Tamandua tetradactyla: one gene and its partner. The protein of the gene in region 1 interacts with the protein of each later gene in a biochemical or structural test. Links are inferred from orthologs where the notes say so. Each region holds a gene or a part of one and is shown in the gene's direction. Other genes may lie near its edges.

Region 1 (8,194 bases):
ACAATAAAGCATCCTGATACAGAAATATCAAGTGACCCTAGAAATGCATTAGTTATACAGGGTCTTGCTACAGAAGATTTAAAAAAGAAAAAATGTAAAACAAAAAAACAAAAAGCTTTTGCAACTGAGCGAAAAGTACTCATATGGGAAAAAGTACAGTTGGCAGTTCACAGGACTGATCATCCTTATCAGCCTGAAGGAATTTTGAAAGGAAAATTCTCCAGAACCCTGACTTCTCTTGCTATCCCCCAACACACACCCGCCCCCTTTTTTTTAAACCACTATTTCCTCCCTTGCGGAATGTTCCTAAAAGATGCAAAGGGGTCTGTGCTAATTAGTCTTTGATGATAGCCATTGGAAATGGCAAGTGCTGAGGTATATGGCATCACACATCATACTTCACCAAAGACTCCACTGGGAGTCCACAGAAAGAGCAAGGGCTATGGAATCACATATGGATGGTGCTGAGCAAGTCACTTAACTTCTCTGAGTCTCAGTTTCTTCATGTTTGTTGTGAGGAATAAATGAGATAATGCATGCAAAATGCCTTACAGGTAGACTGCACTGAGAGAAACAGTACAGTAGTTCCTTTCCATTCCGCTGAGGAGAGAAAGGGAATAGCCAGAGTCTTGCTACTCAAGTAAGCAGTATTTTAAAGAAGAGGAAATACTGCCTCTTGGATACTCTGGTTAGATAGTTATCAATTGAACTACTACTGGCTGGTTACTTCTTTTTTTTTTTCTTGGGAAGTTTTTAAATTTTTTATGACAAAAACTTCTCACAACATACAAATATTTACAACATGTACATTACTTTCAGTTCTTCACACTGAATTTCAAGGTTAAACATTTTTATAGATTACCACATAACAAAAGCTATGATTCTTGTTTTTATTTCATTAACTATTATAAGTTAAAGTGAATAGAATTTTAAATATTCCTTGTAGCATTTTACAAGTGCAACAGAAAACTTACAGAACCAAATTAAGATAGTTATAGTTCATCAGATAAATATTGCATATTGTCATCACATTATTAACAATAATTTTTGAAAAAATAAGCACCAACCATTCTTTCAAAGAACACATTTTTAAAAATTTTTTATTTGAGAAATCGTCACACACATACATTCTATACATGGTATGCAATCAATGGCTCACAATAACATCACATAGTTGTGTATTCATCACCATGATTATTTTTTAGAACATTTGCATCACTCCAGAAAAAGAAAGAAAAAAGAAGAAACTCATACATACCATACACCTTACCCCTCCCTCTCATTGACCACTAATGTTTCCATCTACCCAATTTATTTTAACATTTGTCCCCCCTATTATTTATTTATTTTATATCCATACTTTTTACTCAACTGTCCATTCTGGGGATATAAGAAACACCGGACGTAAGTTTCTCACAATCACACAGTCACATTGTAAATGTTATATCTTTATACAATTGTCTTCAAGAATCTAAGCTGCTGGAACACAGCTCAGCAGTTTCAGCTACTTCCCTCTAGCCACTCCAATACACCAAAAACTAAAAGGGGTATCTCTATAATGCATATGAATAACCTCCAGGATAACCTCTTGACTCTGCTTGAAATCTCTCAGCCAACAAAACATTGTTTTGTCTCATTTCTCTCTTCCCCCTTTTGGTGAAGAAGACTTTCTTAGTCTCTTGATGCTGGGTCCCGGCTTATCCCAGGCTTTCTGTCCCACATTGCCAGGGATATTTACACCCCTGGAAGTCATGTCCCATGGAGGAGGGAGGGCAGTGAGTTCACCTGCTGAGTTGGCTTAGAGAGAGAGGCTACATGAGAGCCACAAAAGAGGTTCTTTGGGGATGACTCTTAGGCCTAATTTTAAGTAGGCCTAGCCTATCCTTTGTAGCAATGTTTCATAGGGGTGAACCCCAAGATCAAGGGCTCAGCCTGTTGATTTGGTTGTTCCCACTGTTTACAAGAATATCAGAAATTCTCCAAATGGTGAGGTTAAATATTTCCTCCTTTCTCCCATTCTCCCAAGGGAACTTTTGCAAAGAACAATTTTATTTAAAAGGATTGAAAAATATTAAATACAAGGCCTTTAATTTATATGACAAGCCATAAATACACTGTATGAAAACATCCTGCATACTGTTACCCTTGTATATATACTGTACTGAACAATGACCCACCACACATGTAATTGTACTTTTTTCTTTTAAGAAACCAATTTGACTCCTACCAATGGCTTGCTACTTTACTGAAGGCCACAGTGGTCTCATTCCAATCATAGGCAGGCTGTATAGTTTTGTAGATTTTGCTTTGGTGTTGTCTTTAATAGTGTTTTATCTTAACACGAGCAAATGTAGGAGCCAGTTTAGTTGACTGATTCTGCAAGTGCTATTTATATTAATTCTTTGGCATAGTGCAGTTGATTTGATGGCTGAACCCTTTCTAATAAGCATCTTCTTTCTGAATTCTGTTGCTCTATAGGGAGCTAGAAGCTGCAAAAGGTGATCATGTGAAAATCCTTGTATTGTAGTTCAACAAAGAGAATATTATAACACTGGAACTCTGTATTTTAATTAAAGAGCTCTGTGTCTGTCTATAATTTTCCCTTCCCCTCTTTCTTTCTCCATATGAACATGGTCTGTATGTTTGCGTGTGCATCTGTGTGTATAATGTTCACATCACTTCTGTTTTCCACCCTTACTCCCTAAGTGAGGCACAGGGCCAGTCCTGTCTATGCATCTCTTGTGGTCGAGTTGGATCTGTAGGCTGCTGAAATTGTTAGAAAAAATTGGGGAGTTCCACAATAAGTATCTTAAGAAGCCACAACTATCTCTAACTCAGAGCTGTCCATTACATGTTAACCGTGGGGAAGACATAAAGATGGATGCCTCTCCTTTCACATTCTTGGTGAAACGACCAGTGGTGACTAAGAAAGAACTACCATATTTCCAGGCTACATGTGTCTAGACTGGTTCATAAAGAATAAGGAAAAAGTAAAAAAAAAGAAGGGGGGGATAGGGAGGGGTGTGTGTGGGTGGGATACCAGGTCCTTGAAATCCTATTGAACAGCATGATGTAGAGGTGGAAGCCATTTCATCCATTGCTCAGTAAGGCGATGGCTAATGAGAGGTTTACTTCCTCAGACCCTACCCCAACACAGACACTTGGAAAAGATGAAGGCTTCCTTTTGTACAAACTGGATTTGTTCTAAAAAGAGAAAGAGCAGAGGCAGTTTCCAGCAGGATGTGTCTTGTAGAAATAAGAGCAGAGACCAAGACCAAAGCAGATGCTGGATCTGAGCAGGGAGTTTGCAACAAAACTAAAGGTAACAAGCTACGTGTGCTTTACTAAAAGAAAACACAACTGGATGTGGTTTCTGATTCTGTTTACTGATCAGGCTACTCAATTCCTTTAGGGCTTTATTTTATCTTCTGTAATTTGAGTTTTTTATTTTGAAAGGGTACTTTTTTGAAATTTGTCATGGAAGCAAATGTGATTTTACAACAGGGATCTCAATGAGTTGGCAGCTCCTGAGAATAGAGTGTAATTATTGGTTTTGCCATTACTTCTATGTAAATGAATAGTTCTAATGTTAAAAGGAAGTTCTTTGGAGTTTCAGCTGAATCTGAATGTTAGAAAGGACTCTGATTGGTTGGAAACAATATCAATATGTCATTTCAATCAAAGGCCAGGGAATCAGGGAAGAGAGGTGTTGGTCAGGGAATGGGGAAAGTTTTGCTCCCTTGTGCAATTTTTCTGAAAATATGATTTGCAAAATATTGAACTAATCCACAACCATAAGATAAAGGAGGGTAAGTGGCAAAGCAAACATTCTGAACATTCCTGGTGTTTCTTTAATCATTTTGTCTCCTCAGTATGATCGTAGAACCTTCTACACCTTAGAAAAAAGCAGAATAATGAAAAAAAAAAGAGTAAAATAATGGCACATATTGCTTTGAACTTTGAAAATAACCACTTTGCTTGACAGTAGAGAAAAATTGCCAATTTTATTTTGTTTCCATAGTGCCACCAAAAGCACAAGGAGTTTGGTTCAAATAATAATAATAAGCCTCACCCCTCCATAGGAAAAATTATCCACCTCTAGCAAAATTTGGATGGGAAGAGGGACTGGTGATTTTTCAGTACTTATTGGTGCTCTATTTTTTGTGATAATATTTAAGCTTTCACTTTGTCTTTCTAATGAAAGTTTGGAATTAGTAATATAAGATTGTGCATTAACTTAAAGTGAACAATTGATACAAAGTTTTGTTTTGTGTAAATAAAAAAAGTTTTGATGTCAAACAAAAAAGTTTGATGACTTTCTTTGCCTTTCTGTATTTCAGTTACTTAAACTGAAACTTTCTGTAATATTGTAAGTTTGGAGAAGGCTAAACAAGGACTTATTCTTCATAAATGATCAGAGACAGCAGTAAGATAGTTGCAATACCTTTGCGTGATGTTGTCTAAAAGAACTAATCAAAGCAAAAAGAAAAAAAAGCCAAAGGTCAAGAACAGAAACAACCATATCCCCACTGAATTTTTTTTTCAACTTTAGAGCAAAGCTTCCATCCTTTGTAGCTCAGTAGGTGATGGGCAAAATCAGTTGGGTGGCAGGTAGTGTTTGTCCATAACTACAGGTGCAGCCTCCTTATCCTTATTAGACCTCTTGGTTACAGACTCTTAATAGGACACAATTTGAAAAATTAAATTCACTGTCTAGGAAACTGGGAACTGAGGCTTCAATATCTCCCTCCGTGAAGTTCTGGCACTTACATTATCCCTTCTGGGATTTTTAGGGTCAACAGTTACACAGACTTTTGCTGTTCACAGATCTTCTTCCATGTACCATAAGAGTGATTAGCGTAAAGTTGTCTCTGGACATTGCCAAGGACACAGGTACATGCCACTTGACATCCAGAGCAATTCATTGCCTTACATGAAGACACAATGTAGGACCAAACTCCCCAATTCAATATCCATTAAACGCAAAAACTGACAGAGCTGTTGACTATGAAAGGAGGATACCAAGGTAGGGTTTTCATGGTCTGTTTCATTCAAAACCAGGGTTAAACTGAGGTAGGGGTGAGGATTGATGTACTGGATCCTCAGAAACTGTTATTATCAACAGCACACAAGTGAGCTCCAGAAAGAAGCTATGGCTGCAGTGATCCTGGAGAGCATCTTTCTCAAGAGATCTCAGCAGAAAAAGAAAACATCACCTTTAAATTTCAAGAAGCGTCTCTTTCTCTTGACCGTGCACAAACTTTCCTACTATGAGTATGACTTTGAACGTGGGGTAAGTTTTTCTGCTGTGAAACCTGAATTTCAAGGGGTTGGTCTTAGAAATTCCTTAGGGAGGAGGTAGTAAGAGCAAGGTAAAATGGACCTAAGTACAATTAAACTTAGCAAAACTCAAGAGAAGTCATGATTAAAGGCGGTGGGGGATGGATCTTAACATGGAATCTTGTAATTGGTGAGCATTCATTAAATGATTGTTGAGAATGGAATCCAAGAGTTGGAAATTGCTTCCTTATTTCTTATGATAAGGCACACACATCCACTCTTCTATAGTGTTTGTCCTCCATCTGGTTGTCAAAATGGGTTAGATTAATACTTTCAAGATGACAGGTCCTGATATAGAGTGTGGGTGTCACCTCACTATGTAGAATGATTAGATAACAAAATCTAATCATCTGGTTGCCCAATCACCCTTAATCTCTTTCTCCATTTTCTTCCACATTCTCTTTCTCAGAGAAGAGGCAGTAAAAAGGGTTCAATAGATGTAGAGAAGATCACCTGCGTTGAAACAGTGGTTCCTGAAAAAAATCCGCCCCCTGAAAGACAGATTCTGGTAAGAAGAGATGATTGTTTGACATAGAGAAAGAGAGAGCGTGAGATTTTAAGAAATTTGGAACATTTAGATTTTCTGTAAGTAATCTAGTGGTGCTGTGAAACACAGTAAAATGCCCTTACAAAGTTCTTCACTCTACCACATATTGATTATACTCTCAGCATCTTTCCCCCAGATATTTAGATCTAGATCATTTAACCTAGAAAACTTCTAACTTCCTGTTTCAAAATGCTGTTATATCTAGTTTTCAACCTGGCCAGAGATAACAGTTACTGGGCTCAGAATCAGAGGTTTGAGATAGTCTGAATGCAAGAATCCTAAGGCTCTGAGTAATAGGAGATGCACTGATATCTTACTGTTTATTCTCCCCTTGTTTCCCAGAATCTTTCTGGTGCATAACACCCAGTGACTGCTAAGTTGAGTTTTTTATTTTTTCATATTTTTATTGATAAATCTTCACATACGTACATTCCATATATGGTGAAAAATCAGTGGCACACAGTCTCATCACATAGTTGTGTATTCATCACCACGATCATTTTTTAGAACATTTGCATCACTCCAAAAAAAGAAATTACAAGAAAAAAGAAAAAACTCATACATACTATACCTCTTACTCTCCCTCCAATTTGTTTTTAACATATCACTTCTTTCCAGATTATAACAGTAGTGTATGTTTATTAAGAAAATCTGAAAACTATTTTAAAATGATAAAAAAGTAAATACAGTCATTTATAATATTATCACCCAGCTAAAACAGTTATATCTATACAGACTTACAAAATGTTTCTCTCTAACAACCATGTATACACAAACTCAATTTACACATACATTCAGTTTCATATATATGATAAATATTTAAACATAAAATTGCCTTTGTAATTTACTTTCTCAATTTAACAATATATGGTAACTGTTTTCCCGTGACATTAATTATCTTTAATAACATGATTTTAATGACTGCATTGTATTCCCTATTATAGATATATAATAATTTGATTATCTAATCTCCTGTTACTACACATTTAGGTTGTTTCCAATGATTTGATATTATAAACTATGTTGAGAGAAGTATCCTTGCAAACATTTTTGGTTGCTATTCTTATAATAGAATCCTAGAAGAGAAATTTTCTTTTTCTTTTTTTGTGAAATTGGCACACTTGGTTATTTTTATGTCTTTATTCTATTTTATTTCCTGGAAGTGGAATTTGAATTTCATGCAGTTCTACTAGCTGTGTATAAGAACTCTTATTTTTCTACATTCTTTCCAATACTTGGTATTATAATTTATTTTAAACGTTAGTCAGTTTGACAGCCAGAAGAAATAATATTTCATTGCTGATCTATCCTGCAATTTTTTTAACTTTTTTTATTAAAAAAAATTAACAAACAAAACATTTAGATATCATTCCATTCTACATATACAATCAGTAATTCTTAATATCATCACATAGTTGCATATTCATCATTTCTTAGTACATTTGCATCGATTTAGAAAAAGAAATAAAAAGACAACAGAAAAAGAAATAAAATGATAAGCAAAAAAAAAGACTATACATACCATACCCCTTACCCCTCGCTTTCATTTACCACTATTTCAAGCTGAATTTATTTTAACATTTGTTCCCCCTATTATTTATTTTTATTCCATATGTTCTACTCTTCTGTTGATATAGTAGCTAAAGGGAGCATCAGACATAAGGTTTTCACATTCACAGAGTCTCATTGTGAAAGCTATATCATTGTTCAATCATCATCAAGAAAAATGGCTACTGGAACACAGCACTACATTTTCAGGCAATTCCCTCCAGCCTCTTCACTACATCTTGAACAACAAGGTGATATCTACTTAATGCATAAGAATAACCTCCAGGATAACCTCTTGACTCTGCTTGGAGTCTCTCAGCCATTGACACTTTGTCTCATTTTACTCTTCCCCCTTTTGGTCGAGAAGGTTCTCTCAATCCCTTGATGTTAATTATCAGCTCATTCTACGGTTTTTCTCAGTCCCTTAATGCTGAGTCTCAGCTTATTCCAGGATCTCTGTCCCACGTTGCCAGGTATCCTGCAATTTTATACTACTAGTAAGGTTCAACAATTATTTATATGTCTACTGCTTATTTACATATTTTCATTTGTGAATTACCTCTTAATGTTTTGCCCATTTTTCTATTAAGATGTTTACCTTATTCTTGATAATTTTAAGAGATCCTGACATATTAAGAATATTAATTCTTTAACTACAATATATGTTGAAAATATTTTTCCAGTTTTTCCTGTATGATTGATTTTGTTTATGGTTTTTTTTTGCTATATTGGGTTTTAAGGTCTATGTCATCACATTAG
Region 2 (8,286 bases), on another chromosome or scaffold:
TATATGGAGCTTTTATCTATGAGCTTCTCTCAATTTCATCTTTTATAGAGGACTCAAGTAAGGGGATTAAGACCCACCTTGAATGGGGTGGGTCACATCTTAATTGAAATAACCTAACCAAAAGGTTCCACTTACAACAGGTCTGTACCCTCAGGAATGGGTTAAAAGAACATGGCTTTTTTCTGGGGTACATAACAGCTCCAAACCACCACAGGAAAGCACTTTTTCTTTCTTTCTTTTGCAAAATCTTACTCTCTTGTTCAAGGAAATTCTGTTTATTATTCAAAGTCCAGTGTCAGCTTCTCTATAAAATTATCCTGGCCCTTCAAGGCAGAAGAGTGAGTATGAGCTCCATGTTCACCCAGTGGGTAATGAGGTCCTGCTCAGTTGCCAGGAGTGGAAATGCTGCTCCTTTTCCCACGTGAATGGCCAGCGCGCTCCTTCCATTTCCCAGTCTTTCGGCCCTAAACTCAACCCCACCATTTTGAAGTCAGCAGATCTCCCCACATTCTCTGATTCCTCCATTTCCCAGTTTCAAGAATTTGGGAGAAGTTGCCCTCTTCGCAGAAAAGACCAAGGAGCATTGCAGACACAGTTGGAGGTCCCCTTCACTCGAAGACAGAAGTGACAACCTTTGAACATGGCAGCATTTTCTGTGAGTGCTTAAGTCAATTCACATTTGTCGCCACACCTACAGAAATAAAACACACCCCAAGCATTTCATCTCTCCAAGGTATGAACCAAATAAGGAAAAGGTCTCTCTTTGCCGGAGATCTGCTTGTTTTATAATTTTGGGAGGACAGGGCCCAGATTGTAAGTGCTTTCCACCAATAAGGAGGTGGGGCTACAGGAGAGGTTGATGGAATCCTATGAAAGAAACCAGATCATTGCAAATAAGAACCCACAATGGAGGAATATATAAACATAGTCTCATCCTATCAGATACCATCTCCTCCTTCCTTCCACATATCAGCCCACTATTTTAAATGGCAACGGGGAGCAATGCAGAGGCTGTGATTCTTACCAAGGTAGATTTACAACTTAAGGAAGTGTGGGGCAGTGAACAAACACATATAACATATTTTCCCCCAATGTCTGGACTCAAACAAACTGCAAGGAGGTACTAAAAATAAATTGATCAGGGAGTGCGGAGTCCAAGCAAAGCTGTTCTTAAGATTTCTGTTTCTTAACAGCCGTCCCATCTTTGCCCACACCGTACAGTGTGTGGCTGCCTCAATACACGTGTGCCATTCCCGCTCAAGGCCCACCCAAAGCCTGACAAGGAGAGGTGTGTTCTTGGAAACCACACTCCCAGCAAAGCATTACAAAGTTGGTCATTTCCTCCGCAGGAGCAGTGTTCTAGTTTGCTAGCTGTCGGCATGCAACACACCAGAGACGGACTGGCTTTTAATAAAAGGGGATTTATTTTGTTAGTTCTTCAAAGGAAAGGCAGCTGACTTTCATCTGAGGTTCTTTCTTACGTGGGAAGGCTCAGGGTAATCTCTGCTGGCCTTCTCTCGAGGCCTCTGGGTTCCAACAACATTCCCTGGTGGTGATTCCTTTCTGCATCTCCAAAGGCCTGGGCTGAGCTGCAAGTGCTAAGATGAGGTATGCCGAGCTGCTTGGGCTGTGCTATGTTGAGCTCTTTCATTTAAGTACCAGCCAATTAAGTCAAACATCATTCATTGCAGCAGGCACGCCTCCTAGCTGACTGCAGATGTAATCAGCAACAGATGAGGTTCACATACCATTGGCTCATGTCCACAGCAACAGAACTAGGTGCCTTCACCTGGCCAAGTTGACAACTGACTCTAACTACCAAAAGCAGCATTCTCATTGGCATAGGAGTTGGGAAAATCTAGATTCTAGAAAATAACCAGTGATACACCAAGTGAGCTACTCCTTATGTAACCATTTCTTCAATCATTTAAAGTTGTTTAATTATATTTATATTCATCTAAAATGGGTATGAATGTACTGTGCCTGAAATACTTCACCAATGGCCAAGAAGAGTCCTGGGGGTATGTATTTTTCTAGTGAGGAGGGAAGTAGAAGGTTGAAATTCAGATTTAAAATAGACAATGCAAACTAGAATATACATTTCCTCTAAATCAGTAGTTCCCAGACTTTTTGGTGTCTGGATCCCTTTATATTCTTAAAAATGATTTATTAGAGGATCTCAAAGAGCTTTTGTTTATGTGGTTACATCTCTTGGCCATTACCGCATAGAAATGAAAACTGAGATTTAAAAAACAATTATTGAGCAGTGCAATGGTGGCTCAGTGGCAGAATTCTCATCTGCCATGCCAGAGACCCAGGTTCGATTCCTGGGGCCTACCCATGCCAAAAAAAAAAAAAAAAAGAAAAAGAAAACAACAACAACAACAACAAACAATTATTAAGTCATCTAAAAGTAATAATAATAAGTCCATCACATGTTAACATAAATATGATTTTGTGACAAATATCTATTACAAAACAAAATAGTGAGAAGAGAGGCAATGTTTTATGTTTTTGCAAATCAGATCCATTCTCATATCTGCTTCTGCATTCAACCTGTTGTGATGTCACATGTCCTGTAGCTTATGGAAATCTCCAATGCTCACTCATGAGAGAATGCGAGAGAAAAAGGCAAATATTGTCTTAGAATTAGTATGAAGCAGTTTTGACCAGAAGGATATTCTGCAAGGTCTCAGGGACCTCCAGGGGTCTCTAGGTCATCCTTTCAGAACCACTCCTCTAGATCGATATGCCAGCTAAAGTAAATATTTAAGCATTTTACATAATAGCATGGCTTGCCTTCTTAGTATGTGTGGTAGGCAGAATTATAAGATGGTTTCCATTTCCTGTCTCCTGTTGTGCAAACCCCTGTGTAATTTCTGGGGCTTGTGAATATGGTGAGGTAGTTGTTCCTTCATTAGATTAGGTATATGCTGCAGCTGACTTAAAGAATTGAAGACTCTCCTGGGTGGATCTGGCCTAATCAGGTGAGCTCTTAAAGCTAGGGACTGGGCTCTTCCTGAAGAAGAGATTGAAGTATGTGTGAGATTTGACACGGGGATTCTTTGTTGCTGGTTCTGAAGATGGAGAGAGCCACATGGCAATGAATGAAGGTGGCTTCCAGATGCTTAGTCCTACAACCACAAAGAAATAAATTTGACCAACTACCTGAATGGTCTTAGAAGTGATGCTTCCCTAGCCCTAGAACCTCCAGAAAGGAATGCAGGCTGGACAGCACCCTGATCCAGCCTGTGAAATCCTGAGCATACAGCCCAGTAATGCCAGGTCAGAACTTCTGACCCATAGAGCCATGAGATAACAAAAAGCCAAAAGCAACTATGCTTTTAGCAAGGAACTTCAAAACATCTCTCACAGAATTGTGGACTCTCCCCAGATTTAAAGAGCTATGAACAGGTCAAAGCAGAGGAGAAGGGAGATGATGGTGTGGAGAGGAACATGGAGCCTCCAAATGAAAATCCAAATATTGACAGCAGCATTCTCCTCAGAAGAGAAAGACCTTTACAATGGGGATCAATCACTATTAAGCTTCTACTACAGTGATCTTTACAGAAACAAGCCTATAGCATAGACCTGTACTATTTGCAGGAACAGGACAAATCTTTGAGAGTGGACCACAGTGTCAACAGATAGGGTGGCACCTTGCCCCAGGAGTAACATCCTCAAGTTAGCTTCTGGCAAAACCAGAAGCAGGTTTTTCCAGGTGGCTTTAACCCCAGGCTCTCAGAAAGAAGGTCCTAAGGAAGTTTGTCCTCCAAACTCACAGAGCCCATTGGCCACAAGCTTCCATGCACGAAGCATATACTTTCTCCATTTTGGTCGAGAAGGAAACATCAGGAGTGATGAGTGGCAATGTCCCTAGCCTGCTTTCCCTAGGCAGTCTGACCTTGTGTTCCTGATATCACAGTGGCCCTGACATTTCATAATAACGCATGCATGCCCTTTCGGTTGTTTGGCCTTTTGTGGTGATGAGTTTCCCAGGTAAGCTTTGGCATCCCACTTATTGAGGGTGGACAGGGCATCTCATCAGTTCATAAATCCTTGGCTAGAGTGTGTCCATCAACAGGGAATACACTCGGGGCGTCCTTGGAAAGGCTGTATCATCCCACCCACTTCCATGTTCAATGGGTTCTCAATGTTTCATGGCTATTCAGGTAGGACTATCACACACCTATGAAAGTGCAGGAGATTGGTTTGTGCTCCAAGCCTCCCAGTGGAGGACACTGTCTTGGGGAGAGGAATCCATGCATGGACCTGCAGCCGGCTCCTCTCTTTGTACTTTTGCATCTGCACAGAGCATATGTTTCCGTTCTTTTTTTCTGAGGAAATCTCCAAGTAGAGGCAATTCACAAGGTTCACCCAAAGGAAGAAAGATGCTTTGGGTACAAGGGTTTGAGTGGGTCTTGAAACTGGCCCAGGGGCATTGAGCACAGGTCTCCAAAGGTGACTTCTGAGAGTGGAAATGTCCCAAACGTTCCTCCCATACCCTAAACCTATCTTGGCTGAGTTTAGCCACCCAGAAAGCAGGGGGCTAACGCAGGGTGTTTTGTCATTTATTCGGGCTGCTAAGTTAAAAGTGGTGGTGGTGGTGGTGGGGACGCTCCTGTTTCATCAGCCTAGGGGTTGTCAGGAAACTGGGGTTTTTGTGACGGAGGCCCGGGTAATGGGGACCAGTAGATGAATGGTGTCAGGGCCGCGCCGAGGGGCGGCCCCGGCGGGACGAGGGCGGAGCGGGCGGCGTTGCGCTGACGGCCGCGGCAGAAAGGGGGCGGCCGCGCCCATTTCCACCGCTGCGCTCCGCCTCGGCCCGAGGGCTCCGCGGCGGCGAGCGGCGCCTCCCGGACGGTGGCACGGAGGCTCGGCCCAGCCTGCCGCGGCCGCGACCCCCTCGAGGCGCTGTAGAGCCCACCGCGAGGTTCGGGTTCGGCCGCAGCGCCCCGCACCTCCGCCCACATGGAAACGGCGTTGAAGCGGAGCCGCTCCGAGGAGCCGGCGGAGCTATCTCCGCCTGCCCGGGACGTGGAAAAGGAGGAGGAGGAGGAGGAAGAGGGGATGGAGCAGGGGCTGGAGGAGGAGGAAGAGGTGGACCCCCGGATCCAGGTACGGCGCGCGGGGGTCCCCTGGGATCTCCTCTCCGCAAGGGCTGCCGCGGAGGTCGGCGTCTACACCTCCACTCCGAGGATCCGCACGCAGCCCCTAGTGTCCGCGGTCGGCGGGGTCGCAGTCGCGTAGATCCTAGGGCTGCAAGAGGGGGTGTGAATACACCGTTTTCAAGCGCCCCCGCCTCTCCGGGGGGGCTGCAGTGCCCGCGTGGATGCGGCCTGACTACGTCGCGAGGGCCCCCCCCCCCCCTTTCCCCGCAAACTCTCGGCGGGATCTTGGGGGTTCGGGCGATGGGCAACAAAGGGAAAAAGGGACAGAGGAGCCATTGCCCTTTCCGGGGTACCCCCCGCGTCAGGCTCCCGGCGCCGCGGGTATCGCGCAGGCGACGGCAGAAGGGATTGCCCGGCCCGCGTGGGCTCTGGGGGCGGGCCCGGGAGCTCGACTGGGTGGGCGTTGCCCGCCCCTGCAGCGTGGGCTGGCGCCGGTGCCATGGGTTCGCAGCCCCCACCTGGCCGAAGTCACCGGCCAGAGTCGCCTCTCTCCTCCTTTGAGTCATTGTCAAGAAACGGGGGGCGGGGTAGTGTCCCCGCTGGTTCAACCCTCCGCTTGGCCTGAAATGGTTTCAAGCCCTGGTTTTCCTTGTTGTGAGGTCGGTTGTGAACAGAAATCAGGAACAAGTGATGCGCAGTGCTGACGCGTGCAGGCGGTGAGGGGGTTGGCCTGCCTTTCTATGCCTCCATTTCCAAGAGGGATGATTAAAAAACACTTTACAAGCCGACATCTATGAATGACAACTTAACCTCTGCACCCGCTAAGCAGAAACACAGCAAATCCCCCTTTCCAAGATCCGTTTTACTCTCCCCTTTCCATAAATCTTTTCTTTTTTATTTTTTTAAATATATATATTGCTAAAAAGCATGCTGTGCAGTTTTTGGAGCCCTAATTGATTTTTCAGCGCACAGATCAATTAAAAGCTCATTGAACTCAGTGGTTGGGGTTTAAATGAATTGTTTTTCGGCCGTTTAGCAAGATAAAGATCAGGTGGAAAAAGCCTTGAATTAGGAATGATTCGATTAATTCAAATCATCAGTTTGGGTTGCTATAGCTTCTGTTCTTGCTGGGAAATCCTGTTATCGAGATCCTTTGTTTGCAGAGCAGAGCAAAGATGAGTTAAGTTCGTGCTCCTTACTTTTTTTTTTTTTACAAATGTTAGATTGCAAATATTAATTTAAAGGATTGGGATTAAAACTAGTTAACTAGAGGTAGGTAGGTTGAATAATTGGCAGTTTAGAAAAAAAAGGGAATTTCATCTCTTTACCAAAAAATAATCAACCACAGATGACATGCCAGCTGTCTGTCCAGATTTAAATGATTTCACTGGGTTTAATATCCTTTTGGCTTGGCCAGGTTTTAAAACAAAATTTTTTAAATGCTTATTTCTTCCCTCTATGGCAGAAGGTACTGTTTTGATTCTGCCACTGAACTGCTTATAACAGGTGAGTTTACCTGAAGGCACCCACCTGAAATGGATATTTGACCTTATAGGAAAAGACAGATAATTCCTAGGCCCTTAAGCCATTTTTAAAAAGGATATCATCAAGAAAAAAACTTCAGAAATGGGACACTCATTTGCTTTTCCAGACAAGGCCCCCCTTTTTCCCTTGAGAATGAATACCACCTTTCCCCTCTTCCACAAAATTGTGCCGGGATCATTGTTTTCAGGTTATGGGCTGAGTTATTTTGGAAACAAAAGACCGATGCCTCAAATCTTTTTTCTCCCCCTTTCCTTCCTTCACTAGGGAGAACTGGAGAAGTTAAATCAATCCACGGATGATATCAACAGACGAGAGACTGAACTTGAGGTACAGAAAGCTGGGTCCCTTTTCTGGGTGTCGTGGTGTCAGTTACGCTGACAGTTCATTTTGCTGTAATAGCTGGAGGGTTATTTTGGAGGCCCTTCCTTGGGAATGGAGCCCGGTCTGTGGGCTGAAAGCCTGTGGATCCAATTTCACATGTTTTTCATTATGGAAGCTCCACCGGGCCCAAACCAATGGCTGTGTGAAGCACCGGACATGCTTAAGCCCCCAAATTTAATGTGTCTCTGGAAAAGTTGAAGAGACTGAGGGGAAAATGAGCTGAACTCTTTCATGTAGAGTAATGAATGAGCTCACAAAATCTCTTAAATGTTTAGGGGCTGTTCCTTCCATTTGTACTTGGAGCTGTTTGGTGTTTCCTCAGACTTACACCATGTTTTGACTTTTCTACCCTAATAATTCACCCCCCACTTCTACTTTCCTGCTCATTTCTTTATCCTCTCCTTGTGTATAGAATATAATTATCTTAGTGGTTTAAAAAAAAAAGTTGTTTAGACTGGGAAGGGCTTTCCTGCTGGGAAAAATCTCAGGGGAGGCAGCCTTGATTTGAATTTCATGAGCGTTTTCTGACCTGAGTGTAAACAGAGTAGCATTCTTAACAGCTGCCAATTAGTCCCCACCCCTGTTGGGTAATGGTGGATTCTACCCTCCTTCAGCAAACCTGAACGACCTCTGTGCATCTACGAGCGGGAGCTCTTGGGATGCTGGGAGCCACCCGGAGAACCCGTTTTTGTAGCAGTAGCAGGAGAAATAGCAACAGAGTTCCCACAGAAAGGACAGGAAACATCTGGGCTTGTCACCAGTCCTTAAGAGTGAGGGTCCAGGAGAACCTAGCCACGTGCCATCAGATGTGGTAGCGTGTGCTACGTGGAACTATTTGAATTTACATTTAAATAGATTGAAATTCAATAAGATTAAAAATTTAGTTCCTCAGTCACAATAGCCAAGATTGCCTAGCACAGAGAACACTTCCATCGTCATCGAAAGTTCTGTGCGGTGCGGGCCTGGACGGTTGGGGAAGGCAGGGACTACCTCTTGCTCAGTATCCAATAGTTAAGTGATGGGGCTGAGCTGGGTCTCAGCTGGGTCTCCCATCCTACACCCAGGCATTGCCCACATCCCCCTCCAGCTGTTATGTTTTAACATCCCAAATGAGTAGACAAGTTGGAAGTAGTTTCCCCCTCCCCCCCCCTTTGTAAAGTGTTGGTTTAGTCATTCAATAAATCTTTGCACGCCGGAGTGCTGTAGTGAGCATGTCAGTCTTCGTGGCGCTTACATTCTGAGGGTAAAA

What was found. The genes of interacting proteins can lie anywhere in the genome.
Region 2: the proteins of BTK (region 1) and SH3BP5 form a complex in vitro, tested with the Homo sapiens proteins (2 studies listed by BioGRID, with this or other methods). The link is inferred for Tamandua tetradactyla from reciprocal best matches to the Homo sapiens genes BTK and SH3BP5.

Annotation. Positions count from the first base shown.
Region 1 is NC_135353.1:72,131,447-72,139,640, forward strand, and holds the start of BTK (tyrosine-protein kinase BTK), read left to right. Parts: upstream 1-5,128; 5' UTR 5,129-5,152; coding exon 5,153-5,293; intron 5,294-5,749; coding exon 5,750-5,848; intron 5,849-8,194. UniProt on the Homo sapiens protein: Non-receptor tyrosine kinase indispensable for B lymphocyte development, differentiation and signaling. Binding of antigen to the B-cell antigen receptor (BCR) triggers signaling that ultimately leads to B-cell activation.
Region 2 is NC_135341.1:73,336,357-73,344,642, forward strand, and holds the start of SH3BP5 (SH3 domain-binding protein 5), read left to right. Parts: upstream 1-4,832; 5' UTR 4,833-4,971; coding exon 4,972-5,118; intron 5,119-6,920; coding exon 6,921-6,983; intron 6,984-8,286. UniProt on the Homo sapiens protein: Functions as a guanine nucleotide exchange factor (GEF) with specificity for RAB11A and RAB25. Inhibits the auto- and transphosphorylation activity of BTK. Plays a negative regulatory role in BTK-related cytoplasmic signaling in B-cells.